Oreochromis niloticus: one gene and its partner. The protein of the gene in region 2 purifies or fractionates together with the protein of the main gene of each other region. This does not show direct contact. Links are inferred from orthologs where the notes say so. Each region holds a gene or a part of one and is shown on either strand. Other genes may lie near its edges.

Region 1 (16,756 bases), about 11 Mb from region 2:
GTCCGCACAGTTAGGTCCATGATTTTTTGAACAAAGACTATTTTTTTCAAACAAAATATATATGATTGTAATGCAGACTGAAAAAAAGATACTAGACAGGTGCTTTTCAGTGGGGCAAAAAAAGCAAGCCATAAAAGGAGAAAGCTTGCTGAAGCACTCGGTTAGTAAGATGAAAAAATATTTAATAAAATTGGTAGTTGCTCAGCAAATAAAATCCGTTGACCCCCAGCAAATTCATTTTAACGTTTTAATTCATGTATTCAAGGGGTTTATCAAAAGACTTGCATGAACTGTTTAGGAAGTACAAGGCCTTTACTGCAGACACCTTCAGCTGCTGCTTGTTTGTGGGTCTCTCTGCCTTCAGTTTTGCATTTAATAACTGTAAATTATGCTCTGTTGGGTTGAGATCAAGTGACCAACTTGGCCATTAAAAGTAAAAAATTTTCTTTGCCTTGAGAAACTTGTGCTGCTTGCTCTTTTGGGTCTCATCAGACAGCATTTTGTCAAAATGCTGTCTGATGAGTTCTGCAGTATTTGTCTGAATGTGAGCAGAGAGCATAGCCCTGTACACAGAATTCAACCTGTTACTTCTATCAGCAGGTAATTTGGTATGCTTCAGATCATGAGTTGTTGCTCTCCTTCTCCATATTTTTCATTTCATCCACAGAATTGTTTACAGAACAGTGCAGGCTCTTTGAATTTTTTTCTAGCGGAGTCTAGTCTGGACTTCTTGTCCCTGAGTATAACCAGTGGTTTACAGCTTGTTGTAAACCCTACATGCATGTCTTGATTTTAGATGTTGAAAATGATACATCTACCTCTTCAAGAGTTTTATTTACTTTCTTATGTGATATTGTTATCATGTAATAATGATGTATCATGCAAATCAGTTCACCACCTTTAAATGATAGATTTTGGGATTTTTGCCATCTTTCTAATCGGTTTGTTTTATTGTTGTTTTCTTTTGTTTTTCCAGCCTGATGATAGGCTCCCTCACTGAAAAGCTATAAAATACAATTTCAACACTTTAAATCAACTTCAGATATTATATCTGCTCCCTTTTTCATTAACAAAATAAGGGGACAGGTCATAAAACTGCTTGTCAGTCAGTTGTGCAGTTCTTTCAGAGTCTTCCTCTTTCTGAGGGACTGTGGATAAAAATGACTGTAATTCTTAAACTGCTAATGCAATATCTTTGGAAATCCCCTTGAGTTAAAGCTGACAGTCTGCACTTCAATCACACACTGACTGTTTGAATTTAAATCCACTGTGGTGGTGTCCAGAAGCAAAATCTGCAAATATTGTGTATTTGTCAAAAAATAAAATACTGATGTGAACATATGTAATCCTTTTAAGTTTCCTGCCTAAATCCTGTACACTTTACACATATGTGAAATTTACCAGCAGTAGAAGTCAGAAAAGTCTCAGAGTATATCACAGACCCACTGGCTTGTCTACAATAGGCTCTGATAACTGGCATATGGGAAAACAAAGAGGCCTCATCTAACGAGAAAAGCAAAGTGAATGATGATGTGCTCTATAAAGTATTCTGACCTTTAGCTGGTGGATGATGTCAATACGTTTGTTGCGAGGGTCTTTAAAGTGAATCTGGATCCTCACAGGAAACTCACCCCAACCGCGACGCGTTAAATGAAAGGGAGGCTCACTGAGAACAGACACATTTGAACTGCCTTATGCAACACTGTTAAAATTCAAATATAAGTCAGGATGAAAAAAATATATGTATTAAAGATGCATCACTATGCCTTTGTTTAAAAAAAATCTGTTTTCTAGCCTGTACTGAGTTAAGAATCTCCTAAAAATCAATGACTTGAAAAACTCACATGTTCTCCGCCTTTGAAGCTTGACATTCTCATCCCAACATAACAGACATTGATCTGACTGCAAGGCTATGTGTATGTGCCTGCGTATCATGTGTATATTGAAGCGCAACCTATAAGTGAAGCAAGTGTTTTTTTTCCACTTCACTTCATCCCTTCATCTACAGTCAGGCTGTGCTGGGAGTCAGCAGAGAGCATCAGCGTAGGGCTCACTGGGAGTGAAGGTTTGGGTTACGTGGGGGGAGCTTGTGAGCTGCTGCAACAGCAACGTGAGCACTTTGTCAGCTCAAACAGCTGGGAGGCTACAGCTCAGGATAAGGACTGCTGACTGATGAGAGAGATCATTTATTCAGAAGCTGCAGGCAACCTTAAATCCTGAGCCATTTTTAGAGGGTAATGCCAACAATTAGACATTTTAAGTACATATTTCAAGGTTACCTAACCTCTGTTGCTTGTGAATGATTTCTAAATTAAGTGTGTGACGCTCATCTATACACCTATCTGCTTCAGGCTAGGGCAAGTCTGTACCACTTAGGTGTGCCTGCTATTAGTCCTGTTGACGTTGAGTTCTAGGCTGACTCGCTGTGCAGCAAATGACGTTGCCTAATGATGTGTGTACAATCTGAATAACAAATTTGTCATCTTTTAATTTTCCTAAAAACTAACAAGCTGTAAGATTTTGCTGAAGTGATTACTGCTTGGTAAGACAAATATTGATTTTCTACAAAGCGATGAGACTGATAGGGGATGAATGCGCTGCATCACCAAACCTGCACAAGGGGGCAGTGTTTGGTAAAAGTTGATCTAAAGGATTTTCACCGAGCTGACAGTGAAAAGTGAATTATTATGTAATATTGTTTGTATAATTCTTGCAGTTTTGGCAAGTGTTGCTTGGAAAAAGGTGGATTAAAGGACTTACTTATCACGACAATACAAAGTTAGAAGTAAATATTCTATCTAAGAGCTACGAAACACTGCAAGAACAAATCTTTTATTATCTTTTAAGTTTCTTTTTGTCTTCCTTCTTCTTCTCTTTAATTAAATTCTTTCTAACTTATTTTATTCTGCAACATCACTACATGAAACTGCATGACTGCTTAAAAACACTTCAATACACATTTCACTAAAACTGGCCCAAACCTGACTTCCACGAGGTCGTTGGGTTTGTAGCTGGGATGCAGAAAAAACCAAACTTTCTTGACAAAGTGGTTGATGCTAGGTTCTCTCCTTGAGCCTCTGACATACACCATCCACTTATGAGTAGACTGGTCATTCTCTTCCCGCTTATCAGGTGGAATGTACCTGAGAATAATAAACAAAGAAGAAAAACCTCAGAGGTAGTGAAAACATTGGATTGAGGTAATGCATAGATGGTTTACAGAAGAGTTAAACACCACCCAAGATGAAGAGTAGGGAGGTAAAGTGAGACTGAAAATGAAGAGGTGTTTTTTTTTTTCTTTAAATTTTTACAAAATATTTGGAAAGGGGAGACAGACAAGGAGGTGCTACATGACTAATTTCAACACCGCTTTAATAATTTTCTGTCATAAAAAAGTTTCTGTCTTAAATCATACACCGGTTGGAAGCCTGGAGGAACTTAAAATCTCATCTGATCAAATGCTTTCTGATTAATAAACATGTACTACAATATTAAGTGTGCTGAATAAGTATCTCAATAAAGTTTTCTCTACTTAATATTTGCTTCATTAATGATGAGTATCGCTGGCACCCTTTTCAGCTTGAGTCCGTGTGTGCCATACTGGAACAAAAAAAACCCACCTTTGACGAATGGTAGGCGCCCAGTTGTCAAAACAAAAGCCTCATTACTTTACAAAATGCAGTCACGAAACTCTACAGGCGTGTGGCTAACACAAAAATGAAGGCCAGGTTACACAACAGGTGTGGTCTGACCCATAAGCGCTAAAACGTTACGTAATAAAGTACAATTAAAAAGTGAGTATCCTATTTATATGGGGTCTGGGGTCAACGTGCTCATGAGTATCATGGCAGGTGGGATCCCAACGCATTATTAACTGAGTGTAGTTTTACCTGTACGGTCTTGAGGAACAGAAAACTGTGCGCCCAGGGGGAAAATAAATTAGGTAAAATTTATTCTCAATCTTCTTCAAGACCACACTTGTAGGAAAACTGATTTGTGGCTCATCTCTTCAGCGCACAATCATGCATGAGACAAATTCAGCTGACTGAATAAAATAAGAAAAACCAACCCCGACTGCTGCAGTTCTTCTAATGTTGAGCCGATAATGAATAAAATCAGCTCTCTTTCTACTTAGTTTCTGATCCTGCACATGAACCCTAAACCAGCTGCGGTTCAAGATGGTCGATTTGTATTATATCTGAGTGATATATGAATGACAACTGAACTTTCAAAATAAGAGACATGCAGTAGGCTAAATGCAAGTCCATCGCATTTAGTGTTTTCCTCCAAGACTGATTAAAAATGAAAAAAAATAGTGAATGCAGGCGGGCAGCCTTTTCTATAATACCTGCCCAAAGCTTAAGTGACTTTCTTATTAAAAATTTTTACATGTAATTTATTCTCAAAATTTCAGTGTCTTTCTGAAATACTAAGACAAAACACCAGGCTACTCCGTACCTACGTAAAGAGTATCTATTTCAAACAACACTTTCTTTTCACTTGTTCTCTACTTCTAAAAAGTTAAATTCTAAATTTTGAGCTTGATGAAAAGATTAACTTTAATGCTGTGAGATTCAAACTTTTTGTCTTGTAGTTGTTAATTTAAACCTTTTACAGTTACTAAGAAGATTCTGACCTCTAATCTGAAAAGTCTGTTACAATGTAATTAGTCACCAAAGAAATAACATAAAAGAGAAATAACAATTTAACATAAGCCAGGGCCTGATCAACCCTGGCAGGGCCTCCTTGGATGAGGGTGTCTAGTGATAATGGCCGAAACACCCGATGAATCCAAGGTCCACTACTGACGATGTGTCCCAAATTTTTAATATGATAATCTAGATCAGATCTCTAATCCCTAAACCTAACCAAGGAAGGAAAAATGGCAGATTAGCCTGGGTAAAAGACCGAAACACCCTGTAAAGTTGAGGCACACAACAATGTGTCTAGCTGGTAAAATTTCTGGGCTGCCTTTCCTCGTAACAGCCATCCCTCAAGACTTTCTCCATTTGAACCAATGCATTATCAGGGATTGTAAGATCTAGTTCTTTTACTGAATCAGTCACAAAGAAATGACAGACATTTTTTAATTTGGTTACGTACTTGGATACATTTCCCACTACGATTGTCTTCTTCGCATAAAGTCTAGATGCATCGTCTCCAGTAGTGTGGTAGGTCACTCTCTGCTCTGCAGACGACGGCACACCGAATGTGTCCTACAGCAACAAAGGCAACGCTTTTAGTCACCGATCATCAAAAGGTCAAAAAACCCACAATTTCTGCCAGCTGAACTTACTTTGCCTGTGTTGCGTCCGGGTCTGCGCTCCTGCCTGCTGCTCTCCTCTCTCCAGGCTCCTTCTCCATTCCTCTCAGCACCGTCTCCTTGCTGTGAGAGAGACTCAGACTCTGATTGGACCAACGATGGAGTCTCGGAGCCCTGGTTGAGAGGGGAAGAAGAACGGGAAGGAGACTCCAGGAAGCGTCGGATGGCCGGATGGTTCAGCACAGCAGGGTCGCTCTTGGAGGTATGCTATGGAACATAGAAGAAATTTAGGTCAGTGTTTCTATACTGTACTACCACATAGAGCAGCAGACAGCTGGCTATTACTGTCTGCAATAACACCACTATAAAGTTTTATGCCATTTGTTTATGATCCATAGTGCATGGCACAATGAGACCAGTCGGGATATGTTCCTGTTAAGGAGCCAATTTAGTACCTAAAAAGGGATCTATTTCAACAACCTTGAACAAAAGGACAATATTTTTCAAAACATGCAAGGAAACTGTTCCAGCTGAAGGTGGAAGCTACAAATGTGTTTCACCACTTGAAGCAAATAAACACCATAAAGTACAACCAGGCTACACAGGAGGAGATACTAAGAGCTGCTGATGTGCAACCTAAATGTCAACAAAAGACTCCACCAAGCATCACTGATTCACACGCTAGATGCACTCCAGATGACAGGAAAAGCAAACAGGGGGGGATTAGATAAAAATGTGGATGCATCAGTACAAACACAGTGATTTAAGCAACTGGTGAAAAAGCTCTACATAAGAAACAACATCCCAGGTGGAAAAGAATATTAAGATTTACATAGTTAAGTTAGTTTAACAACTGTTCAGTTAAAGTGTTATTTTATATTTTTTACTTCCCAGGGGAAACAATAGCTAGGGCTACTGTTGTGTGTACATTTGACTTGCTGTGTACCGCTACTATTGCACTACAATGCTGATGCCGGCAACCTGTTTCACAAGATAAATACTTTAAATTACTAAGATTGCCAACAATGACTGCAGCTCATTAGAATAGCATAATACAAAATACCTTTAACTCACTACACCTATAAATGCTGCAACCTGCAAACATCAATAAAATGTTGTTTGGTATATTTTTTCCTGCGCTGTCAGAAATATTTTTCTTGCAAATTTTCTTCAAATATCATCATATAATTTTGAGGCTGTATCATCAAACTCTGTGTCCAAATGAATGGGAATTTACCTCTGAGAGCTTTGTCAGTCCAGCACTGGCATAGTAATTAGCTACTATGCATGCCCTGAGCTTGTCCATCATCCTCCTGGCTTCATTAAGACGCTGCAAAGCAAAGAAAAACAGTGAGCCGGCATGCTGAATATTACACTTAACTCCAAGTTATTGTCCATGTTAAGTTTTTATGCAGTAACAAGTAAAATACAGATTTAAAAGAAAGTATCATCTGAATACCTGACTTATCACATCTATCTCATGCTCTTTGTTCTTCATCTCCAAAGAAAATTGCTCCTTGATGATGGTTTCAATCTTCTGAACTGTTGCTTCTCGAGCTGGATAAAATAGGGAAGAGGGAATGAACATATCTACAAGACCAGGGCACAACTGATAGCTAATTTTGACCACAACAAGCAAAGCAAGTGTACTGGCTCAGGGTTCAGAGCATGAACTTACCACTATGTTCAGCCGCCTTGTTTCTCTTACTGTTTTGGACCAGAGAAACGTCCTCATAGTCGGGATCATTGCCCTCTATCTTCCTTTTAATTCCCGACATGGCTTCCTGTAAAGAAGGCTATAATTAGAAAACGTGTAGCTAATCACTTATATGCTGTGATGTACATGATTTGCTATGCACTTAGCACAGAATTAGCTGCATAGCAGGGAAGCTATAGATAATTGACAGCAATGCCCACAGCTAACCTCAGTACTGATTAGCCAAACAGGTATGCCAACATGAGTTAGCAGGCTGTCCACTACCTACCAAGCTATTTCAAACTGTCGACCAATTGTCTAAGATTCATTTAACAAGAATGCACATCGCATTTTAGTGTGTCTCACCACCGATATGATAAATAAATATACACATACCGTCCATACAGCCAACAGTTCTCTGACGTTAGCAACCGCTAACCTTGCTAATTTAGCTAACGTTAGCACACAGTTGTACATACATACCGGTTCAGGCTGTACAAAATGCAAATTTTCAGGAGTACTCTGTGATGTGGAGCAACGTTTCTTTGAAAGGCGTGTGTTTTTTTAATTCAACGTGAGCATATCCGTTGCGTTTTTAGTATACTCAGACCACACTCGTGTTTAGGGAATTGCTAAATCTCGAGCTCTACAAGTAAGCTAACTAAATAGTGGATAGTTAGCCTTGCAGTTTAGCCAAACAGCCACAAGGGACCGCTGTTCTACCAAGTTGATTGAAAACGAGGCGTGGAATGATAGGTATTGTCACCTTTCAGAAGATTGCTTCCCTGGAAAGGATGTTTTATTGTCGTGATCAACAGCGTAACCCGTCTTACAAGCCCTTAGTAAACTAACTACTCTGACAAGATATTCATAAACAGCGGTGAAGATGGCATGCATACCTGTCAAACTTCATTACAACCAGCCATCATGGTCTATTCTAAAGAACTTTACGGGGATTTTACTCCAGTGTTATCACTGCAGGAAGTTTTTTTTGTGTCTGATTCAGTGGAACTCTTTGGAGGTATTACATTACATTACAGAGTTGAGTAACCCCGTGTATGAGCATGCGATATTCTAACTATCATAGGTTACTATTAGTCTAACATGTTTAAGCTTGTAACCGCTGACAGGCTGCATGCCACGAATTAGAAGGCAAACAACACCAGACAAGAAGGGGATCAGTTCATCTTATTTAGCTTAAGCGGAGCTTCACACTTCATCAGACATCAGTTACACAGTAAACATGTGATTCTAAAGGCAATTAAACAGAAAACAGGTGTTGCTAGAAAGCCACTCCAAACAAACCTTTTCTATAACTTCTACACCTATGGGCACCTTTTCAGTGTTACACATTACTTTGCTGCTCTCTTGCAATGAATTGTCCTATCACGTTCACATTTCCTTTTAATGAAGCAGAGAAGAAGATCAAACAACATCCTGTTAAATTTCCTGTGGATCCGAAGTAAATACAGCGCCAGTATTGTCGATACCAACATGAAATTCGATACTGATACTTTAACCTCATGATTTAACCGCCATCAGTTGATCAATTTACATATTCTAAGTACATTAATCAAAACAACAAAACACTCCTTTCAGCTTTTCATGTATTTTGAAATGGGGATTTTTGGAGACCTGGACTTTTTTTTAAAATTATTATTAGTCCTTTATTGATCCAGGTCAAAATCTCACTTGAGATTAAAAATCTCATTTCCAAGAGAGACCTGGAGATGTGCACATGTGAGTGTGTAAATGTGCCTCTAGTTGCAGTATTTTCCAGTCAAGTTTTAATTAATATGGATGTCTCTTTAGCTCAGTGGGTGAGCAGGTGGGCTGAGAGCTGCAGCACTACTCCAACCTCTGGCCCTTTCCTGCCAGGGCCAAGAACCTAGCATTTTACTCAAACCAGATCAGGCCTGCAGCTGTACCACAGAGTTGGCATCCTCAGTAATTTATAGTAGCTGGCACTCAGCTGGATAACTGAGGTGACAGCATGCTGTCAGTGCCAAAAATCTTATAATCACAGCTGATTAATGTACTGTATAGCATTATCCTGTCTGAGAATGCATGTCCCTGATGAGCTCTTTGCATAAATCAGAACACAGATGTATGGGTAAGGCATGGCTTCAATTTTTCCCATAATGTTTGGTGTAAATGTAGCGAGATGGTAAGAATCTGTGAGAGGATTCTTTGTGGTTTTCATTAAACCAAAGCATAATATGGAGAATATAAATCACATGAGACTTAAATAAAAAGGGCCTGATAATAAAGCATGGGTTGCTCAATCCTACTTTAAAAAGTGCGGCTGCTTTTAAACACTGTCCCCTTGTTCAGCACAATGACTCATTAAAACATCACCAGCGTGATTGACTCATCCCTTGGTGAATACAGTGTCCACAGCTCTGTGGAGCAGATTGCTACAACTTGCAACAAAACCCAAATGGCGCATCTCTTCTTTTGTGACATCTTCATGGATATTTGTGGGACAATAGTTGTGGTTTCGATGAAATACATAAATCACTTTGTTTCCATTCGTTTTATGGCTGGTCTGTTGTGAAAACGGATGTGCTCACGATCGCTTGATTGAGAAAAAGCACAACTTCTCGGGGCACATTTATCGCATGCGTCACACTGACCACAAGAATCGCTTTTCATCTCAGCCTTCTGATTTCTGTAAAACTGAGTGAAAACTTTATATTTTGTTTGAGAAGGGAACATAAAAATCAGGATATCTTCTCTTGGAGGAGTTACCTCCACTGCTGGCATGAAGACGATCCTCAATGTAATGAACATGTTTGACAATTTACTTAGTGGCCACTTTGTCAGTTACACCTGTTCAGCTGCTCATTACCTAATGCAAATATCTAATCAGCCTAACATGGCAGCAATTCAATGCGTTTTGCCATGAATGAGCTGCTGAAGTTCAAGAAAGGAATAAGTATTTCAGAAACCGCTGATCTACTGAGATTTCCCCACACAGTCATCTCTGGTGTTTACAGAGAAAGGTCCAAAAAACAGAAAATATCCAGTGAGCGGCAGCTCTCTGAGCAAAAAGGCCTCGTCGATGTCAGAGGACAATGGCCATAAACCTTGAAGATGACGGGAAGGCAACAATAACTCAAATCATCACCTGTTAACAATCACAGGCTGCAGAAGAGCATCTCTGAATGCACAACACGCCCTATCTGGAAGTAGATGGGCTACAGCAGCAGAAGACCGCACCAGGTGACACTCCTGTCAGCTAAGAGCGAGACACTGAGGCTATCACAGCAGGAATTTGCATTAATGAGCATCTGAACAGGTGCATCACTGTTTTCTTGTAGACTTTCATTTGTTAACAATGATGAGTCACAGCAAAGCTTTGATACATTAAGAAAAACTTTATTGACGTTTCTCATAAACAACTCAACCATTACAATTCAACATACTGCATTTTACAAAAATTGAAAGCTTTTTTTTAAAAAACAAAGAGCACAAGAAAAGTGTTGTAAAAGTATCACACATCATGCACACAATAATAGCAGTGTATATCACAATTATCTGATGTAATTGCTCACTCGTTAATCTCTGGTTAAGGCACATAGGGCAGCACTTAAGGGGTTACATCTCTTGACATCAAGGCAAGGCACAGGTGGTGCTTTTCCAACAAGACTGACTTCAGGATTGTCTCAAATGTGGCTCTTATCTGTGTTAATATTTAACTCTGGTGAGCAACTTGTAACCCTCAGGTTTTTTGGGTGTAATCTGCTGCACGTCCTTTTTATGTTCTCAGCAACACGCGATCCCACAACTCACCACAACAAGCAAAAGATTTAAAAACAAAACAAAACAGTACACACACAAAAAAACAAAACGATGGATATTCTTATCAGAAGTCAATAATACATGAAAGACATTAATGAAAATCAATAAATCAGCACAACATGAGTTTGTGCCCTACTTAAGAGTAAATACTCAGTGAAATCACAGACGCACACACACTCAGATTCTCACTTTCTCACTCCCATGCTTCTGCCTTTCCGCTTTCCTGCCCCCCAACTCAACCCGTCGCTCCTCCTGACTTCTGCAAGCAGGTGAATCAGGAGGTGCTTCATTTTTCCACCTGTACTGCTCCTTAACCTGACCTCCATTTGGAGGAATGTGAAGAATGTTTATGTAAAAAAACCAACAACTTCCCCCTACATATTTTTGTTATCATACCTGACAGGTGAAGTATGACCTGAGCTGTTCTTAAAGGATATTACGTAATGGTGCTGAGTGACAAATTCAAAAATCCCTAAAATTTGAAAACTGAAACTGTTATGACGACACTGCCTCCTTTGCAGCAATATTTGCTGGTTTTTTCAGCGCATCAAAGCGTAGGAGGCAGTGGCCAACAGGAGGAGCTGACAGGCCCTTTTCACTCTCTTTTCTATACGTCACATGAAAGCAAAGAACATTTACTGATACAGTAAAAAAGGAAATCATTGTCATAAAGTTCTACATTTAACAGGATTCTGTCAAAGTGCACAATTGGGGCTCTCAAGAGAACATATTATGCAAATAAGGATACAAAGATACATTTAAATACAAGTTAAAGAAAACAAAGTTAACTGTATATTCACAGCAATCTATCAACACCAATTGTATTAAAAGGTGACTTTTACTGACCAAGAGCCACACCATCCAAAATCCTCATCATTCAACTCTTAAACCCGCCAACGGTGTGAGGGCCAGCACTGCCGCACCCGCCACCTTAGCTGACCATTCAACACACATACACGCATACACACCTGGAGGTATCTATGGTTACCCCGAGTTACATCTTTACATGTAAGTGTACAGGTGAGATGTGGCAGCATTGCACGACAACTCTGTGATAAACCTGCGTGGCTCCCAAAGCATCCAGACCAAGCAGTAAAAGTCACACAATATCCTTACACACACACAGACACACACACACACACACACACACACAGACACACACACACACACCAGACATGCACACCATTTATTCAGAGCAGTCTACAAGTTTGATCCACAAAAGGCTTCACATCCACAAAACCACCCCACAAGCCCAGTACACCGATGGATTAACGTCGACCTAACTACTTATCATACAATAAACATCCAATTATAAAAAAATAGGCACGGATAAATATAACTTACCAAAAAAAGGCAATAATGAGTGAAATAATAATAATTAAAAAGGAGCAAAATATACAGCTTAGAAGGCATTAGCAAGGCTGACTGTAAAAAGTGAGGTGATGACACAGGTGGAGCGCAGGAAGAGAAACACACATATGGGAAGTGGAACTTAATGGTGAGTGGTGATGACATGGGAAAAAAAAGGAAACACAAGGGAAGAGCCAACAGTGGCTAGAGTCCAATGTTTTCACAGCTTCTGCTCTTTACCTCTTCTCTTAACTCGGCTCTGGGTTGAGGGGTGAAAGAGCTCCGTATTTATGACAGATGATACTGTGGGAGAGCAGCTGGCTGACTGCTTACCACATTTCTATCAAGTCATTTTCAGTATTGGAGAAGAGGTAAAAAAAAAAAACAGAGCACAGTTCATTATTATGTTCTTTACCAGAGCTTGGCATAACTTTACTGTATGAGACAAACTGCGTGAGTGCAGGGAGGACGAGGTGAGTAATCCGACCTGGTCACTCAGATCAGTATTTTTGGATATATTTTTGTTTCTCCAGAGACAACTGTTGGCTCTCGCCAGATATTTTTAGTGTTGTTTTTTGCTCATCAGAACTCTCATTAATCATCAGTGACCTAAATCTTGAGGTTATACTTTGCACAGCAATGAAAGCAGAGTGCTGGGAAGTTACATTTTTTTAATATTGATGGTTTGTGAGTATGACAAATGAGTGCTGGCAAAAACTCAATAATGTAATTGGGAGTACCACCCTTTGTTTTCACTTAATGACTTTTTGAGCTCACCTCAAAATTAAATATTTTAACACGTGTCAATCTATTCATAGAACACTATGTGAAAAGGTGAGTAAATGAGCTTGTAGTTTAATCTGATCTCTAGATTTAAGACTGATTTTCCTCAAACTACCAATACAAAAGCACATCTCTCATGCTGATCTGGTTCCACTTTATCTCTGGTTGCAGAAAAGCCATTAGTGTTATCAGCTTCTGAGCATTTCCACAGAAAGGCTATTAAGACAACAAAAGATTCACAGCACCACAACGAGTCTTGCTACATGATGCTGTGAGGAAATAAATTAGCTCACTGACACTGTGGTTTGAACTATTAAATGTGCCTCTTATTAAAAAAACAAAAAACAAAAAAACGGGGTGTGGTTAGTTTTTGTGTGCTGTGTATGTGTATGAGTACTTGAAGAGTTCTTTAGTGTTTGCTCTCATGTTGAGAGAGTGTCTGTGTGTGCGACTCTGTTCATGGTCACGACTTGAAGTATTTGTCATTGTAACGATGGATGGTTACGCAGCCGTGGTAGGAGATGGCTCGAGGCATAGAGGATGCTCCCGTCATGATGCCTGTTGCTGGGTCGTAACACAGGACGGTGTCTGTGGCTTCGCCGTTTTCCCCCCTGCCACCGAGGATGTAGATTTTTCCGTTACACACTGACATGCCACAGCTCTCCTGCAGTTAAAGAAAGACAGAAATTAAAGGGTGCATCGTCAAAGTGTAGAACTTTTCATATTCTTATGGCTAAAGCCAGTTTGTGGATTCGGGCACTCAGCGTCTGTGTTTGATAGTAACCTGTTTGTTGAAGGTCTGAGCCACATGCATCCAGTAGTCCTCTGCAGGGTCGTAGCAGTAAATTGACTTTGTGAGACCGCCGCACACATAGATCAGATTGTTGAGAGATACTGCTGAGATACAACGCTTGGCAATGGGGATGCTGGCACGCAGCAACCAGGAGTCTGTCTCTGGATCATAGCACTGAACCTGTGACATAAGTTTAAACATAGTGGTGTTTTACAATGATGAAAGGTTCAACTTTATCTTTCTTTATCTTAAAAAAAAAAATCTATACCAGGTGTTGGGAAAACAGCTGTAAAAGCAGTAACAACTAAAATATGTAAAGCCCATTCGGTGGTTACTGACTCTTCTGTGGGTTGACATTAAGTATGTCTCTGTGTGGTTTTGCATACAATCCAAACATTCTCTCACCCACTTATCTTTAAAATAGCCTCACCCCAAAAAGTTTGGTCTCTAACGACTCTCATTGTGCACAGGGTCTCGCTGAGACAGATTAGGACCTTTGGGACCGATCTAAATGACCCTGTTAGCAGACCCAAGAGATGAGTAGATCAAAAATCTGGAGTCAGCATCGGCTCTTAGTCTTATCAGGCTGCCCCTCTGCCCATCAATGTGTTTTTTCTACTCTGCATAGACATAAACAAATATGCCAGCTATTTCACGTACGTAAAAAAAACTGCTTCGTTGGAACTTTAGATTCCTAAGAAAGCCAGTGTCTTCCTGTTTACTACCAACAATGTGGCCTGTCATTCAAAACATACTGAAACGATTCCAAGGTACTTGTTAAATCCAAACTCTGAGGCTATCTGTTTCACATAGTAGCGTGACAGATGACAAATGACCTAATCCTTAAGTAAGTTATCGCTATTATTACCTAACAAATGGTCAGTCATCATGTGCTACTGTATTTTTCTCCTTACTGTAACATTTCTGAATATGTCAGCATGTTAAGCTGCTGTAGTTTTACTCCTATGAGTAAATGCTATGAAATAAAACCTGAAATACTGTACAATTACAGCATTCCATCGAAATAATAGCCTGGATACAATTAACAAACTGAAACAAGATAAATCAGGACCAACCTGACTAAACAGGACGTACTTGTTACCTACGTAAAACCATCAGTGAGTGTTTAACAGATTTTGTACTCCAACTTTATGAAAGCTAAAATGCTTGGTAAGAAATGATTGCTACTTAAGCCTTCTCTTTAACTCAATTCAGGAAAAAGGGGAAAATCTGAACTTTATATAAATCATGCAGTGACCGAGAACTATGAGGCCTGTACATATATTATGTTTTATGTTGTGTGACGTAAAGGAGCTTGAAAAAAAGCAAAACAAAACAGGATTTTGAACTTCCATTGCACACCTGTAATTATGAAAACAAGTTATTTGACACTGAGAGCAGCTTAGCTGCCATCACTATGTGCTTGAGTGTGTGGGTGCTGAAAAACAGTTTATCACCTTGTCTGAACAAGTTTCATCGTCAGGCCCTCCTCCAATGACAAAGAGCTTTCCAGCACAGCTGGCCACAGCTGGAGAGCTGACTGCTTCTTTCATGGGAGCCACTTCTGTCCAGCGGTTAGAGAAGGAGTCATAACACTCCACACTGCTCAGGCGGCTCTGTCCATCATAACCACCCACAGCATAAACCTGAGGACAGACACACAAATGTACGAGGATCAGATGAGGGGCCAAAATTAAAAGTAAGAGAAATGTCAAGCCTAGAGAAACAAAATTATTCACAGCAAAAAGATGTTTTGCGTTCAAGTTCACTACTTTATGAACGTGAACAATAGCTTCTATGTCAGCTTTTAGAAAACCAGTTCATCAGGAGCAGAGTGTTGATGACGTGCTTCTTCTGAATAGGCTCAATTATCAGTTTCCTTACTGCAAAGCCCAGCTCATCTGTTCACCTTTTAACATAAAATGGTCATAACTACGAACGTCTGAACTTGAAAGCATACTTGTTACAGCCTGAATTTCCACACCGTTATTCTGCCTGATGAAGCAAATCTGGCAATCACTATGCATAAACTATATTATAAACTACTATAAAAAAATCACAGCAGGATAAATATTGAGATGATAAGGCACAAATAAGACCGTCAAAGAAAAAAAAAGAACAGGGTTTTGTGAAACTTTGTGAAAGACACAGATGTATTTTTCAGTTATGCTTATGACATCCTCTGTAAAGGGCTCACGTGTCAAGAAAACAGTGAGGAGCATTACTGGTTACAAGTGCAGTGTTATGCAAGAGAAAACCTTCGGGCTGTTCCTGCCTCTCTGCAAAATAGGAAACATAAATAAGTACAGACAAGAAAAAGAGGAAAACAGGAGAGAGAGGAACAAAGAAAGATGGAGGGAAAGAAGAGGAACAAAAAGACGGAAGCTGATGGGACACATGGTTATTAGCATTAAACGCCCGGCTAATGCTGAATAGCACTACTGTTTTTCCAACTGAAAAACCGACAATCCCTATTCTTGTTTACAACTCGTGCGGTTACAAAGCAGTATTGTCTCTGTCTGCATTCGTGTATTTTCAGTGACAGAAACGCATAACTGAGCTGACAGTTGGTGGCGAGCAGCTGCCACATTGTAACTCACTGAATAAGACTGTGGGCATGCAGGCCAACTGCAATTTGTTTATTTTTAATAATTAATGTTGATACAGCTGATAAACTGTAAATGTGGGTGGTTTTTTCCTAAAAGTGAGAGACGTGAGAGAAGCAAAGAGCGATAAAGAAGAAAACAGGCTACTGAGAGATAAAGATAATCAAGTGCAAGGAGTTGTTTAGAAAGGATTTTTTTAAACTACTGGTTTTGGTGAGCTGTTTTTTTCCTCCTCTCTATTTGTATTAACAACAATTTCAATCCAGTCACATGTAAAACTAGATACACACCTTAAAGTCGCCCACAGTAATATCAGCAACAAATGTAAAGGATCTTTTTCTTACTTATGTAATTGTGGTGGGCTGGCGCTTTAAAGAGCCATTGAAGATATCCAGACACAAGATTGTTTAAAGAAGGTAGTGGAAAGGAGTGGGGGTGGGGCACTGGATCACTGTATTTGC
Region 2 (16,392 bases):
ATTACACATGTAATATTACACATGAGCCAAAGTGTCTTCCTAAAGTCTACCCATTTTTTTCCTCCATATACAAGAAAAAGTCATGTTCTCAAATCATCTTGATTAATATTTGTCTTCACCTCTCTCTTGTCATGATGTGATCCATTTGTGTGGGTGATGGCTGACCCGCACTATATTGAAAATACAATAGAAACTCATCTGCAACTAAATGGTAAATGAGCTGGTTCTTATACAGTGCCTTTCTACTCTACTTGAGCACTCAAACTGCTTTATACACCCAGTTACGCACATTTGTCCAAACACTTTTTTACCTTAACCTCTAGGCAATCCCTTATGACTGCAAGTCGATTACACAGGTAACCTATCTCCAAACAAATCATCGTCTGACTCGGACTGACTGCAATCACTCTCAAACAGACTACAGTGCAGACACGGAAAACTGGAGACCCGACAGCCAAGTATTCATTCCTGTCATCCTTCTTTCAAGTTCACCACCTGGTGCACATGGATAGTTGGTGCATTATAATGTAAATTACAAAATTTCACGTGGACCCTAGCAGACTGTCATACAGTTCATAAATGCAGACAGATTGCCGATACATTGCAATCAGTCTGAGTCAATCTGCACTAATGGGCAAAACTTAACTGGTTGTAGTCTGATCGTATCCCTACATAAAAGCAAGACTGCCAATCACCTATGTCATTTTGCAGTTAAATTGCCATCCCACAGCAACTATGTCACAATTTGTAGAGGTATTTATTAACGTGTTTTAAATCTATGAGATCCTGGATGATTTTTAAAGTGAATTTCTCTGTATATAGATGGCAACGGATTTGCTATTTTCACCAATTTATCATAGTGAATTGTTGTATTGTCTCAAACAGATTTCACATAAATGCCAACTTGACCCAATTCATTCGCAAACTTATAGCAGACCAAATCCATCTTGTTGCTCTTTTATCATCATTTTGATTTAGTAAAGTTGCTTTGAAGACTGCAATCAACTGTGAGTGGTTGCAGATGTCATCATCATCTTTGAAGCAACCAATTCCACGGCAGCAAGATCAGAAGTTCATTGCCCACAGTTGCAATAATTTTAGTCATGCTGTAGTCTCCAACCACTATTTTTTCCACAGGTGATTGCAACATGAGGAGGGAAAAGGAGAAACTCGTGCCACTATTAGTAAGTTAGGAAAATAATGGTTGAGTCGAGCCTGATGTTATATTAAACATAAAGAATGATTCCCAGCCTCTTCCTCAAGCAGAACATCGTTTTAATTTAACATTGATATCAGCAGAGACCCAAAGCCAAAGTATGACTATTGAATCAGCAATACAAAAAACTGGATCACTGCATCTCTAATAAATGCACACATATAGACAACTAGTTCTTGTTTCTCTCAGCATTATTATTATTTTTTTTTTTTTTATGCAGCATATTGCATTAAGATCATGGAAACAAATTAATACAATTTCTCTCTCATATATATATAACAAAAGTCATGGAAGCATTAAAAACAACAACAACGAAGGAGCATTCAAATTGTAATTACAATAACAGTTTACACTAGATTATGTTGTCTTACAAAGTTATTAAAACAAAATAAGTCAATTAACTCCACAATCAACAAATTTGAACAAAAAAAAAAAAAAAAAATACAGAAATACCTTACTCTAAGTACAAAGTATTAATAATCAAGTTATCTTTGCCCACAGAAAGATGCAGCTAATGAAAGGGAGATTGTAACGTTCCTGCTCCAGTTAGAAGACAATTAGTCCCCAGTAAACTTGCTGCTGACACATCCTCTACATCATGGTCCAACTAATAAATCTACCCACAAGGACAATAAAAACACAACATGCTAGAGGTCATATTAAAGTGACATTCAGCAACGGATGATCTCACTGGATGTCCTTTTATAGATGATGAGAAACAGTAGTAGCCATATATTAGGGACAAGACAAATCGCATCAATTAGCGCCATGGACGAGGTGCTCATTTACATTAATTCCCAGTACATCAAACTGTGAGCTGACCTCTGTCAAAACTGATTTAAAAGCTCCTTGTCTCCCACTCGGACAGTCCCTCCCTTTTCCCACACTGTGCTAACACAGCACCATCAAAGTCACACAGGCTACTCCGGCTACAAATACATTTTGATAATACTCCTTCAGGGAGCTAACAATAGTCACCTGAAACGAACACTACCACATGCACATATTACTCACACTCTGCTAAAGAGCCCAGCTGAGAAAACTAATGTGATTTGTCCATGCATAAAATAAAAGAAAGAAAAGCAGAAAACGGGGAGCAGGAGGAGCAGGTTTTTTCAGACAGAGCACTCACCCTTTGACTCAACACGACAAAACTAATTAAGCCAGCTCATCTGACCTGCTCCCAAAAACTAGGAAAGCTAATCACTACATCAAAAATAATTAGTGCTACAGCTGGGCTGAATAACTTTATAAAACATTTGATCACACTTCCACGTTCCTAATAATTAACACGTTCCTGGCTTAACTCGCAAGGCCTATCTTAATAGTTAAGATTAAGCCCAATGTTGCATTCAGGTACCAGATTTCACAGTTATTAAATTAAAGTCGTCATTACATTGTAAATCTGACTACCCTGCCCAACATCAGGTTCAAACCACAGTCAGACATGCCTGACAGAAGTGCACTGGACTGGACTGACTGGAATGTCATAAAATAACGTGGTTTGCATATTTTCACATCCAGACTGTTACAGAGTAGGTAAAGACGAAGGCGTTCTGGAGTTGCAAATATTAACTACAGGATTTGGGGATAAATAAAGTCTCTCTGATTCTGATTAAACACCTTCAATGACATGACTCTCCTTGGCCTTGGAGCCTGTAGTTAGCAGGCATTAAACTACTCGCCACAACAGTGATTTCCTAAAGTATAAACACTGTGCAAGTTAAGGTTTGTTTATTTTATTTAAAAGGGACATTAACGTGAGCAAATGAGACACATTTAGACGGCTTGTTTCATTTTCATCTGCAGTACCAAGCAGGATAACTGCATTTAGAGAGAGCAAATAAAAATAAACAGAAAAGAGCAACAATTATTTGAATTATAAAAGATGTTACCATATAACATATTAAAAAAACATTAAAGACCATTTACAAAACAGCACAGACACAAAAGAACACGAACATGACTACTGAACCAGAGGCGGTGTCACCGTTACAATGACACCACTTCATATTATGACAGCATTTTTGATTATTTGGGAAACACTAATTTATAAAAGTATGTTCCTCAGTTCTGTGGGTATAGTACTCCAGGTATGTGCTGCTCCATAAGAAAACACAGCCTGCAGCCTATCCAGAAACTCTTTCTCTAAAAATATAAAAACAGTTTAGACCAGTAATTACAAACCTAGCAAATATAAAGAGATTTAAAGGAGACAGAAATTCACAGATTGTTTATGTTGCAGGGTTCAACATAACCAATGGCTCTATGGCCTGGGGCCAGTAAATATAGCTGATTAGTCAGCTGCTGGTCCATTTGAGTGCTTCCATCACAGCAAAATGGATGAAGCAAACATTCGATTGTCCATCTTTTTTTCTTAATGTCAGTATTTCCACCTTGTAGTCTAAAACAGTGGCTTTCAAACATTTTATGACCAAGTCACACCAAAAGGCAAGCCTTCATGCCATCTCTACTTTCTCCAGTTGTCTTTTAAGTTGAATACTGTCAGATGACAGCACTCCAGATAACACTTTTTCAGCATCTGCAACTACAAGACACCTATGTTTTAGATAATTGCTTTTTAGTGTGAAAAGCACCATGCAGTTACAATATAGTTGACATAAAATCCCAAGGCACACCTGGATTTGCCTCAAGGCAAACTAATTGGGAGTCACTGATATAAAAGTTTAATATTAAAGGAAGCATATGAAGCTATTAAAAGAATGCAGAGCTTGTTAGTGCCACAGGAAAACACTGAAGGCGGCTACGACAGGGAAGCAGACTGAACATTCACACATTTTCAACTAAAAATAGAATTGCGCACAAGCTAAAATGCATTTCAAGGTTAAAATTATATAAGGTTCATTCCAAAAAGTGCTTCTTTTCTTAGTAAAAAGGTTGATGAAAACAGTAATTATAACACAGGTGTAAATTATGGTGGTGCTGCAGCTTCTACACACACCCCAAGAAGCAAACGGGCAGTGTTTGCTTCCGTGGTGCAGCCTATAGCTCCTAACATTTATTTTAGAGGTTTTGTTAGCACCTACTGAACCAAAACGGAAATCTATAAATTCTGCAATACTTTATAAATTAGGCTACTCAGCCATATGTAAACATATTAAAGCTTAAAATGTCTGTCGTTCCCCAGGGTACATCACCGTGTTAACTTTGCTGCAGACCAAACCTGCTTGGAAGCAGGTTTTGTTGGAGATTACGGATGAGCGTGTGTAAAATCACCACATACTGACAAATAGATTCTACAGAAAATAGGATCACCATTCATGGAAGAAACCTGAGACCACAGGGTAAAGATAGTCCGAGGGTCTTAAGTTTTTCAAGAGCCCTGATAAGAATCAATAAGAAATATGAGTTACCAGAATCAGCTTTAGTCATGCTTTTTTCCTCCTTGCTGCAACTGTTAAATGATTCTATTGCTCTATAAGCCTTAATTATATGATCCTGATATAGAACACCAACTTGTACTTATTAACCTTAAAAAAAAAAAAAATCTGGGAAGGAGGGGCGTACATTGAATTTATGTTATTATATTTATTTTGTATTTTATTTTGCTCTTTAACAGTTAAACACCACAGAGGCGGCTATAACTTTCCTGCTTTCCTTAACTTTCCTTTCCTGCATGTCTAAATAAGAATTTAATGGAAGTAATCTGTTAGAATTTCACATGTGTTGATGAAAGAGCCGCAATGCTGATGTCCCTATTAACTTACACAGTTACTATTTTTCCAACTTACCTTCCATGCTTCAATTAGGCTAGACTTTATTAATATAAAAATCACTCCCTGTGCTGACAGCAGACCTGTCCATGTTTGTGGCTGGTCAGACGCTGCTGCCTCTTTCATGTGAACACACACGGCTAGACTGGGAAACCTCGAGTAGACTGATCAAGTTAATAACCAATTTTATGTGACTTCTTAGCCTGATTGTCTAAGTTAGGAAAAGCAAACTCTGATGTGCTGTTAAGCTGGATTCTGATGTTGTTTACTTTTCTTTTATAGGATGCTTGGAGCTTTTATACCGTCTAACCCCCCCCCCAAAAAAAAGATGATACATTAGTCAGAGTGGTTTATCACCAAACTGCTCATAAGTCATACCAGCACTACAACCATTATATCAGACTAAGAGTCACAAGAAGACACTGTTTTGGTTAATTTGCATTTTCTCCTTCTAGTATATGAGAGAGTAGACTCAGCCAAGGATACATGCTTGGGATTCATGTTTGCTTCCTATATAAACATTTAACTGTGATGTACTCTTCTCCATGAAATAAGATTTATTAATCTCTTGATCTTTCTAGAAACACACCAACCATTAAACCCACAGCTGCCAATTTACCACATTAAGGTGTGACAGTGTTCTTTACAGTACTAACACCACATTGCAATGTACAGTCACCGATCTTGACACACCAAGACCAACTTGTACTCGCAGATATCCAGAGCATAAGCAAAGATTTTGAGTGTGAAAGACATTGTATGTAATTAAAGGACCCATGTGTTACTGTACTCTCAAATCAACCCACTTCCTGCCCCTCTCTAAAGCGCTTGTTTGGTTGTAGAGTTATGTTAACACGTGGTGTTTTTTTGCCTGCACTGTCGTGACAGATGTCTCATTTGCCATCACATAAAGAAGCACTGCTTTCACTAAGATAGCAAGCCTGTAAACTCCCAAAACTGTGCACTAATAATAAACACGCAACTCACAAGAAAAGTCAACTGTTAGGAAACCAGCTAATCTAAATGTGGGTAACAGAGTTTGGTATGATGCATGTGTTTTCCGATAAATAAACGAGCTCTGTGCCGTTTTACCGTCCTGCTGGGCTCATCATCTCCGCTGCCGACCTGAAGTTCAGCACTTCCACTGGGCCTACTGGCAACCAAACATCCGCGAAGTGGTGCTGGTGCACATTCCGATGAGAATCGCTCAAATCCCTACATCCCAGCTAAATCAACTGCCGCGAGCTCCAAGCCCACGAAGTTGGGAGGCACGAGGATGCTGTTTAAACTGACGAGACTGGACGGCGGCGCAGCAACAGCAGCAGCACGTGCCAGCCGGCTGAGTTGAACACTAGTTTTTGCAGCAAAAAAAAAAAGTTCACGATTAAAACTCACGACCACACGTCTGGACAGAAACAACCCAGTTATTTCACGGGGAGCTTGCGAATGAGCTAAACGTTAGCATGCTCCAACTTCCAAGCAGACCTTAGTTGACCTAGCATGCCGTTTAGCGGGCTAACCATACAAAACTAACTTACCGTTAGCTCTCGGGGTTTAATTAAAATATATATATATATATTAACACTTGAGACACCAAGCCGCAGACTGTGGCACCAGCAGAATTAAATTCTAAATTATTATACACGCTCCCTGTGACACTCAACGGACAAGTGTGCTGCAGTCTAACCGAACATTTTTCCCCTCTTTCTGTTGTGCTCGACTAGTTAGCCAAGTTAGCTAACGTTACCTGTGCTAGTTCTCCTCGGCTAGTTTTCCCGTTAAGAGAAGAATCGTGGCGATTCCTGATGAAGCCCCTCTATTACTGACACCTAGCACATGCTAGCTAGCGCGACATCAGTCAGGGGCGTTAAAGCCACAAATAAGACAGCACGTAGATGGAAGAAATCGCCGCTAACACGTTTTCGCCGAGGTTTATATGTCCAGCACTGAGAAGTAGCATGATTAGCAACCAAGCACTTGGTAACCAGCTAGCAGCCGAGGCTAGCCGCAGCAACCTGGCATTAGCTTGCCGAGCTAGCTGATTGTTCCGCGCATAACTTTGCCGATGTATTTGTGTACTGCCAGCAATGGCGGTCACACACATTTTGAGTGGGCTAATAAATTCAGTTTCTGTCGTTTGCTCCACCACAAGCAACGAACTGGACGCACACTTCTAAACAGCTTTTGTAGCTTAAGAATTAGACATACCTCACTTCCGTAAATTTGCTGCACGCTCGGCCGCAGCCATGTTTTCAATCCAGTCAACTAGTCGGGGTGTGTGAGCAGCAAGCGCTCTCTCGTCAAAATGCAACACTATCCTGTACATTTTTAGAGTGCCTCTCACTCTCACTCTGCAACATTTCCTAATTTATGGCTTATTGACACTTTAAGGAGAAACAACATGCAGTTTAAGAGTGACACAATTAAGGAAGGGCACAGCATTCAACATGTTTTCATCAAGTTTTAATAGTGTCAGCCAGCAAAAATCAGAATAGATCTTACTCATATGCAAAAACTTTGAGTACAGCATTTTGTTGACTCCCTAATCAGCCAACACATTTAAGCAACACTATGCCCATACACAAAAATAATGCCTTTAATGAATCAGATTGCTCATTATGATGCTGATTACATTACTACAATGTGCTTTCTGCAGCTGTACAGTTTTAGTGAAGACAGATCTGGATTTGCGTGCACATATCATGAGCAGCTTTGCATTTACATGCACTTACATGTGATGTTCAACTAGGATTTTAATGTTCGGAGCATGCATTCTTAAAAAGTCTGCCTGCCACGTTTCAAAAAAAAAAAAAAAAAAAAACGATAATAATAATCTATTGACATCATGTTAAATCACTCCCTTCTGTTATAAATAACCAAGTGCTGAGTCTTGACCAACATACTATTAGTACTGGTACATTCAAATACAAACCAGACATCTGTGTGAGCATGCCAATTTGTACTTCTACAGAACAGTGCAAAACACAAAATTCATTCCTGAGACTAGTCAGCAATTAGTCCCTTCATAGCCCAAGTGTCACATTTTGCTTTCCTTGTCATTTAGTGAATAATACAACAGGAAATAAAAAATATGTGATATATCTACAGCAAGATGTATTGTGATTCATCAGTATCGGCAACACAAGACACATGGACATAGAACATGTGCTCATTTGGTCAAAGAAAAAAAACCAATATGGCATTCAGTGGAATTTCTTTTAGCTGCACATATTTTAAATGCTTGGTTCTGAAAACCTGAAACATGAGTACTACAGTGCTAATAGAAATTTAAGAGCTTTTTATACAGATTTGTACAACATGACGACCCTTTTCAGTTCATTCCCTCTGTCAAAGGCTGTCACGCAGGAGTAAAGATGAGGTCCTTTGCTTGGATGCTTTTGAAACAAAAAGTCAAGTGCAAAATAAAAGGCTTTCCATTTCTTAAACGTTTTCGATGTTGTTGTGGTGTATTGTCAAGTGCTTGATTAAACGGAGCGAGTCTCCACCTCGATCTTCTCCTCTGATTGCGACGACTCTACTTCCTGGTGGCTGATGTTCGGTCGAACCGTCAGCAGCGGACCACCGCCGTAGATGGAGTGGAGGAAGTTCCACGTTTCCTCAGAGATCTGTCCTGAATCTGCTCCTGTAGGGTCGGTGCAATCACAAACGTATACATCGTAAACGTCAGCAACGGGAAAAACAGCTCTACAGTCCACAGCATCTCTGCAAGACTTGTTTGATGCTTTTTAAAAATCCATAATAAAATATTCAGACATACATTTCCTACTAAAGCAGAAGAAACAGAATTACAACTTAAAAACCTTGCTTGTACCTTGTTTGAGTGTTAAATGGCCGTTCTTGTTTACTGTTATCTTTGAATTGTCGATAGGTCCCGGTGGGTCTTGAAAAAGACGAAGAAAAGAAAATTAGTTGTGAAATTACATACATCAGTAACCGAGTTATATTCTCATATCCTAACTGTATCAAAGAGCAATGATGTTAAAATGTCAAATGCTTTTGTCACACTACAAAAAAGCAATATCTGCTCCCCATTCGCTACAGAGAGAAGACAAATATTAGAGGAGCAGAAGTCAAGAGAAAGAAAAAAAAAAAAGACAATTTACAGGCGTGCCAGATGCAAGCTGTTATAAATAGATGTGACAATACAAAGTAGGGGAAGCAAAAAGAAAAAAATATGAGGACAAGTGGAACACCAATGAAATGCATTTTGACGCTTCATTTTGCTGGAGCAGGATAGAAACCCGACTCGGGGGACTAAAGCGAATTCTTTGAAGAAAAATCAAAAGAAGGAACAGGGACTCCACAGTTTCTTTTGAAAATGAGCTGTTTGTAATAACCTGAGAATTTTGATTTTCTATAGGGAAAAAAAAGAAAAAAAATCTATTTGCCTTTTTTCCCCCCCATACGTCGATGAAAATGTATAGACTGGCAGTTTGTTCCAGAAACTCGGTCTCTCCATGATAAATCGCATGGAAAACATTTAACCTTTTTAATCAGACATTTAAACAGGACTAGGGGGTGGGGTGGGGGAATGGAAAGGCAAGACCTCTGTCCAATTACCATTGTCTTTTCCTTTGACAAAGCCCTCCCACTCACGAAACCACTGCATGCTGATGCAGTATATGACCACTGGAGACTCCTCCTCCTGGAACGCCTTGTTCAGCTACAGAGGGAGCAGAAGGACCCGGAGAGAGGAAGAGAGGAAGTGGGGGTGGAGTGAGAGGTAGAGACAAGAGGGAGGACGCAAAGGGGTGGGGAGGGGAAAGAGGAGGGGTAAGTGGGATGGGATAGGGGACAAAAAAGGAAAAAAGTAAGGATGAAAGGATTGAGAGGAAATGGAAAACCAAATCAATTCTCTCTGCTAGTTACTCCAATTAGAAGACAATCTTAAAACCACACTGCACCAGTTCTGTCTCTCTTGGAAAAAGAAAAAAAATGACACATTCCTTGTTCTTCCTTTTTAGCTCAGTCTTACACACACACAGTTATCTCTCTTCTGAGCAGCTATTGTGTGAGTGGGCACACCGAGCAGGCAATAACAGCTGCATCTGTCCCAATGCATTAATGATAAGGCTTTCATCCGGCTTGCACCTCTCATCTCCTGCCGGGGCGAACAGCATCAACACATGCAGCCTATCAACTGGCTAAATAGACTGAAGAAAAGGGGCCTATACACACCTGTGAGTCCTGGCTGCACTGACACACCATGTATTAAAACACACACACACACACACACACAAACCAATTTTTAACTATCTAAATAAAGCCGCTGCTTGGACGGCTTTTCAGGTGAGGTGAGGAGTGGGTGGGTGCTTACCCTGACAAACATGTCCAGCTCTTGCTTACGCCTTTTCTCCAGCTTTTCTATCTCAGTCTGGCACGTGTGGCAGACATACAGGTGGTTGACAGCCGGTCCCCCTCCGTACCTGCGGGAAACAGTACATACAAGCTCACACGTTACTTCAGCCAAAGGAATCGCTGGATCTGAAGATGCTTAAAGCCTCCAGCCAGTCTGAAAGCGGCCGTGTCGACTGCGTGTACCTGCTGTAAAGGTGATCCCACACGTTCTGTGGCAGCATCACTACCAGGTCATCGATGAATGTGGCTTTGTTGGGCGGCACACCTGATGAAACGCAATGAAACAGCAGTCAGACGCTCGCAGTGTAACATTTTATTTTACATGAAATGCAACAGCTCGCATGGTTACAGATCAGTGGTGAGCTAAACAGGGCAAGAAGCTCAACTATGCACAACTCTGTCAAATTCGCTGCTCAAACTGTGCTACCCCTATCATTAGATATTCTTCAGTTTCTCCTTTTTTCAGACCCCCAGAGCCTGTTATTAAAACTCCTTCCCAAACTGCATGTCTAAATTCCCCGCAGGGTGCGAGACTATGAAAAAGATGATTTTTTTAGATCTCCACAAAGTTGTTTGTTTCGCTCCAATTTTTGGCTTTTTCTTGAAAAACACTTCAGATGTATTTATTACAGCCTGTGAAAACCCACTGTTTAATGTCAATTATAGCTCCAGATGGAGCTTTGATTTATTGTATTAATTAGGGACTAAAAGAGTTTTTGAGTTTAAGAGTCTAAAAATCAGGATACGGTGGCAACTCATTCCTAAATTTCCAGATTTGTAAAATCACCTCTCCCTTTTGATCCAACTATTAAAAACCAAATAGGCTGAATAAGCCTGTAAGGAGCTTTATTATTTATTACACTTAAAGGTTATAGGGTCTCATTTCCTTCTCCTTTAAGCTAGGTTACACAAATAATTTATACAGCAAAGCTGACCTGGGTTAATTAAATGTTTGTTGACTTTTAGTAAGTCCTTTTAAAACAACAAGATCAAGAAGGAAGTGGGAGTAGGAAGAAATAACAACCCTTCCATGTCGCTGCAATAAAGCTCTTTGAATTCATTTGTCAGCTTAAGTTCATCTTGACATGTGAGAAAGATATGAGCAGCAGCTTCCCCTAGACTGAAAATCTACACTGCTGCTCCCCCAACCCTCTTGAATATTTCATTGGCCCTTGTCTTATTGATTTATAATAGACAAAATTTAATTAAGAACCTCTAATCTTAAAAGGCAAACAACAAGGGCTTGCAGTAGGACCCTGCAGATACTGAAGAATGTGGGGGGAAAAAAGTGAACATGCAGAAAAGCACTGAAATTTTGATGCAACGTGAAAGCCGAGATAAGATAATGAACCAAATAATGAAAAGTGACGTGTGAACCCTAAATAAATCTAAAATGATCTTAATTACTCAGTGTACCAGGTAATTAAATTCTTTAAATTCACTTCTTTAATCTAAGATACTTTGACTTCAATGAACAATTCAAAGAAAAATTAGTGTGTTTTTTTTAATGCCTGCACCAGCACCATTTTACAGCTGTTTATTTCAAAAAGTCCTCATGGGAAAACATGCAGCCAGAGCTTCTTGATGGAGGCTTAGTGTGTTTTTCATGGCACACTTGAACAGGAAAGTGAAAATAAGCTGTGATGTTTTTGGCTTTGCACACAAAATAAAACAACTGGCTGCACTGCCACAAAGCAATCATGGTTTCACTGCACTGATATTATCTATGCTTATGTACCTGACTAGCCAGTTATTATGTGCTTAGGTGCTGGTGACTACCAAGCAGGAGGGAGAAAGCTGTAGGTGCTTATTTACAGTGTGTAAACACATTCTCTGTTCTGCACAAATTATTTTTCAGTTACGTCACTTCCATTCGCATGAACCCTTTTAGGACTTTTTTCCTTTCTCTGCTAAAAACAGAATGAAGGATCATCTTCACAAAGAGAAGAAACCCCTCCCCCCTCTTCTGAAGTTGGAAATGCCTTTGTCAGAATCAGAAATCCAGAGCGAGAACAAAAGCCAAAGCTGTGTCAAAGTCAAAGCGAAAAGTCTTGCACAAAGCAGACACAGGGCGAGGAAAAGGACAATTTGACCTCCGAGTGGCTTCAGCAGGAGAACGGACATTTTCATACGCACCTCCATGCAAACACAGGAAGTCATCATTGGAAATGGGCCCTGGCTCGGCGAACGTCTTGAACTTGTTAAGCCACTGGCGGGAGATGTAGAACTGCAGAAGGCTGGGCTCCATCATGTTGAATAAGCCCGACACCCTCCTACGTTCTTTCACTGCATCCTCATTGCTCTTTCTGGGACAGAAACAGATCAAATATTAATCAGTATTTTAGATGAATAAGCAAAAGTACGATCCAATTTTTAATAGCTGAGCAGCGTAGTGAATTTTAAAATGCTACAGAGATAAATGAGAGCTTGTTGTTACATTTGTTCAGGTAGGAGTTATAGAAGTACAGTGTGCTAGGCTTACTTATAAAAGAGCACGTAAGCTTCAGCATTCTGGACACAGGCTTCAGACACCTCAGTCACACTTTGGTCGTCAAATTCATACCACAGATTGTTCACATCATTCCTGCAATAGGCTATGTAGTGGCCATCTGGGAGAAGACAGGGGGATGTGTTAGAGCAGCATTCACAAATCTATCAAGTAAGTGTGAATTTTATTTCCAGGGGAATGAATGCAGGACACTCGTATGTGCCAAATGGTGGCAGCTGCCCTGGTCTCATGCAGAAAAGGGAGTGACTGCGCCCACTCACTGCTGGCAGTGCCGTGATGACAGATGACTGACAGCAGGTCGTAGCTGGTGGTCTGGGCGGAGCTGTCTTTGGCCAAGAAAGGCTGCAAGTCCAGGCCCTCGAGGGGGAATGACACATGGGTGCTTATCTTGGTGGAGAACATCAGTTCGTGTCTAAAGCGCTTCAAGTGAATACACAGGATCTGAAGCAGGAGAATGAAAACATTTCTCATTTCAGAAGCTTGGCATTTGAAGAAAATCTGGATAAATATTTGGATTTCTTCATCATATAAATATCTAGAAATGTCAGTTTACCTCTGGCAAACTTTGCATTTTACAAAATTTGACTCCATTTCGTAATCTATGAGGGTGGAGGGAAAAAAAGATCAATGAGAGGAGCAGTCATTGCAGGTGCAGTCCATTTAGATCTCATTTTAGTTAATGTGCAATAAATTACTCACTTCTTGCATTTTTCACAACTGTACATGTTATCTCCTAAGGGAAAAAATTAAAAACACAAAACAAACAATTATTGAGACATCATTCTTGATGTTTATACTGGCACAACATATTTTTCCACCCACCCGCTTACCCTTTAGCTCATCTCTGGCAAAGAAAGCTGCAAGGCAGTCTTGTAGTGTAACCACTGGACCCCAGAACCAACTAACAGGAGAAACAAACACAGAAGGAGGTGAATTTTACACAAAAACAGAAAGCAGCTACTGACTGCTGCCTGATGTAAAAATAAATTTAAAAAAAATACAGCATATGGGTTATAGACACACCTCTTGATGTACTCCATGACAAATGCTATCCACCCCTGTGGTGCATAAGCTTCCCCACAGGAGCCAGCTTTTACCAGGGAGGTTTGGTGGGTGGATGAGTGGAGCTTGGCTAGGTCTTCCTTCCCTGGAATGGGCAACGAGATATCCTGGAAGTTCTCCAGGGTCACAGACACCTGACGGCCACAGAAGGTAGAAGCGTAATGTGTTTTTTTGCTTTTTTGTTTGTTTGTGTTTTTTGTTTTGTTTTTTTACAAGGATTTGTCAGGAGCTGTCACTTTGCAGCATTATCCTTAAGGCAAAAATGTCACTGTGATCACAGATAATCTTTCCTCCCATCATCAGAATGGCATTTTTTCTACCTACACCTCTGTTGCTGCTCAACATCTCAGCATTTTCATTACCATTTCAATCGGATCTAACAAAAAGACAACCAAAAGCACTAACCCGATCACAGGTGAGGCACTGTACTGAGCTGACAATGGTTCCGTCGAACACGTCTGAGATGATGCTGCGATATTTCTTCTGGCGCTTGTTCTTTGGCGGAGAGAATGTGGTCACTGCTGTGGGAAAGCAGACAGAGGCAGAGAAATTTGAGAATACAGTACAGTATGTCTCACACAAGAGTCAGCAAGGATAGTTTTGGGATACTGTTACCTTGCTAACCTCTTTATATTTACAGTTCTTATTCTGGGTATGACTGCCTCTCATAATGGAGATGAACTCGCTGCCGCTAAACAAAGTTTAATACCTTTCTTGTGTGCCGGGTTCAAACTGGGCCAGCCAGAGGCAGCTTTGGGTGGACTGCTGGACATTTTGGGAATGTGCCCCTCCATGGGGACTGGACTTTGTGGTCTTGTGGTGTTTGACATTTGGATATCTGGAAAGCAATCTGAAGGAGAAAAGACCAAGGTTTAGAGACTCTTAAGGTCATAAATTTAGCCGTGAATATCATAATGTCATCACGTGAAATATGAGCCACTATATCTCATGTTTTTACCTGACGCTCTGCCTTGAACCTTGATGGCTCCCTGGCTGCTAATAATAGGCGTGGTCTCTGTAGTGGTATCAACATCTTTGTCGATGTCCACTCCAGTGCTTCCACCCGTAATGCCATTAGTCCCGGAGCGATACAGGTCATTAATCATGTTCTTCTCCTTCTGCCACTCCCTATTGGCCTGAATCTCATCTTGCTCGGGAATCAGCATCTCTGCTTCGTTGGTGTCATCTATCAACGCATTCCCACCCTGCACTTCATTTTCGGCCCTCTCGCTGCTACCGCAGGACTCGCATGACTGGAAGTCGTTGTCCGACTGGCTATGGTTGTCCTCCTCGGGACTGTCGTCCATTGCGATGCCGTGGGACTGGTCGCAGGGCTCGGGTAGCTGCTCCTTCAGCTCTTCATGAAGCTGATCCATTAAGCAGCGCAGAAACTCCTGGGAATCCTACGGTGGAGTTAAACACAAAATATTAGCAGAGCAAGATATTTATTCTACTGTCTTGGTTACCTTAGCATGTGGAAAACTCACCATTTATTCCTCCAATATAATACTGAGTTTGACAGGCAAAGTGAAGCACATCTTCCAAATTACATAAAACAACCACTTCACCTCCGTGTTTGTCCCAATTCTGATCACAACATCTGAAACCAAATGCTCATGAATGTGTAATCAAAGTTAATGAACCTCAGACATCCAATCTCCCTCTTCAAGCCAAATGAACTCTCCTCTCACAGGAGCTGGGGAATGTTAACTTCATTCAGAGCGATGTTTAATCCAAGTCTGTGCAGCCCAGCGTGGCGTGACAAATGAATATTCTTCAGCTAAAACCTCTGAACAAACAGTGGCCAGCCAAGAGGAAACAGGCCTCTTTTATCAATTCACCATTCAGGCTTATAAATCCCTTATTTACAGACACCAGCCAAAGACACAAAGTGCTTCAATTTAACTTCTCTGAAAAAAACTTTATGTCTGTAATGCACAAAACTTTGCTTTCAAGTGCCAAATGGAATCAAATCAAGCAATTTACCTTTAGACCAGATGTGTGGCTTTGTGTGTGTGTCTGTGTGTGTGTGTGTGTGTGTTAGTGAGAGTGTGTGTGTGAGAGAGAGAGAGAGAAAGTGAATGTTAGTGACTGAAAAGGCAGAGGATTCAGTTTAGCTGAGTGAGTGCTATGAGCTGGAAAAAATGTGATTTCTGTAAAGGAAGGAGGGAAAGGGAAATAAGAGAGATATAAGATCTGGGGCATCTTAATAATCTGGGGTTAGACTAATAATAACCCCAGCTCAGCACAAAAACAATAAAATAATCAAAAAGAAAAAGAGATTAATAATAGGCCTATCACATTATTATAAAAGCAAATCATCTTTCATCATATTTCACACAGATATTATTGTTTCGTACAACACAGTCCTTGCATCATATCACCTGTCGACTTTATGACAAATGAAAGACTCCAATATGCTGTTTGACTCTAGAAAAAGGCTCAATGTGTGACAAGTGTCCCCATGTTTTTTGTTTTGTTTTTTGCAGTAA

What was found.
Region 1: the proteins of zzz3 (region 2) and yeats2 purify together in Homo sapiens (affinity purification with mass spectrometry; 3 studies listed by BioGRID, with this or other methods). This does not show direct contact. The link is inferred for Oreochromis niloticus from reciprocal best matches to the Homo sapiens genes ZZZ3 and YEATS2.

What each region holds. Positions count from the first base shown.
Region 1 is NC_031982.2:14,304,645-14,321,400, forward strand, and holds the start of yeats2 (YEATS domain-containing protein 2), read right to left. Parts: upstream 7,661-16,756; 5' UTR 7,443-7,660; intron 7,376-7,442; exon of another isoform or gene 7,356-7,375; intron 7,048-7,355; 5' UTR 7,042-7,047; coding exon 6,942-7,041; intron 6,821-6,941; coding exon 6,723-6,820; intron 6,594-6,722; coding exon 6,501-6,593; intron 5,531-6,500; coding exon 5,297-5,530; intron 5,217-5,296; coding exon 5,104-5,216; intron 3,144-5,103; coding exon 2,982-3,143; intron 1,667-2,981; coding exon 1,555-1,666; intron 1-1,554. UniProt on the Homo sapiens protein: Chromatin reader component of the ATAC complex, a complex with histone acetyltransferase activity on histones H3 and H4. YEATS2 specifically recognizes and binds histone H3 crotonylated at 'Lys-27' (H3K27cr).
Region 2 is NC_031982.2:25,359,139-25,375,530, reverse strand, and holds the start of zzz3 (ZZ-type zinc finger-containing protein 3), read right to left. Parts: upstream 7,297-16,392; 5' UTR 7,159-7,296; intron 7,071-7,158; exon of another isoform or gene 6,698-7,070; intron 6,302-6,697; exon of another isoform or gene 6,043-6,301; intron 1-6,042. Other genes in the region: usp33 (ubiquitin carboxyl-terminal hydrolase 33), read right to left, coding at 8,436-8,593, 8,783-8,851, 9,532-9,634, 10,289-10,397, 10,513-10,594, 12,466-12,635, 12,812-12,938, 13,099-13,279 and 7 more.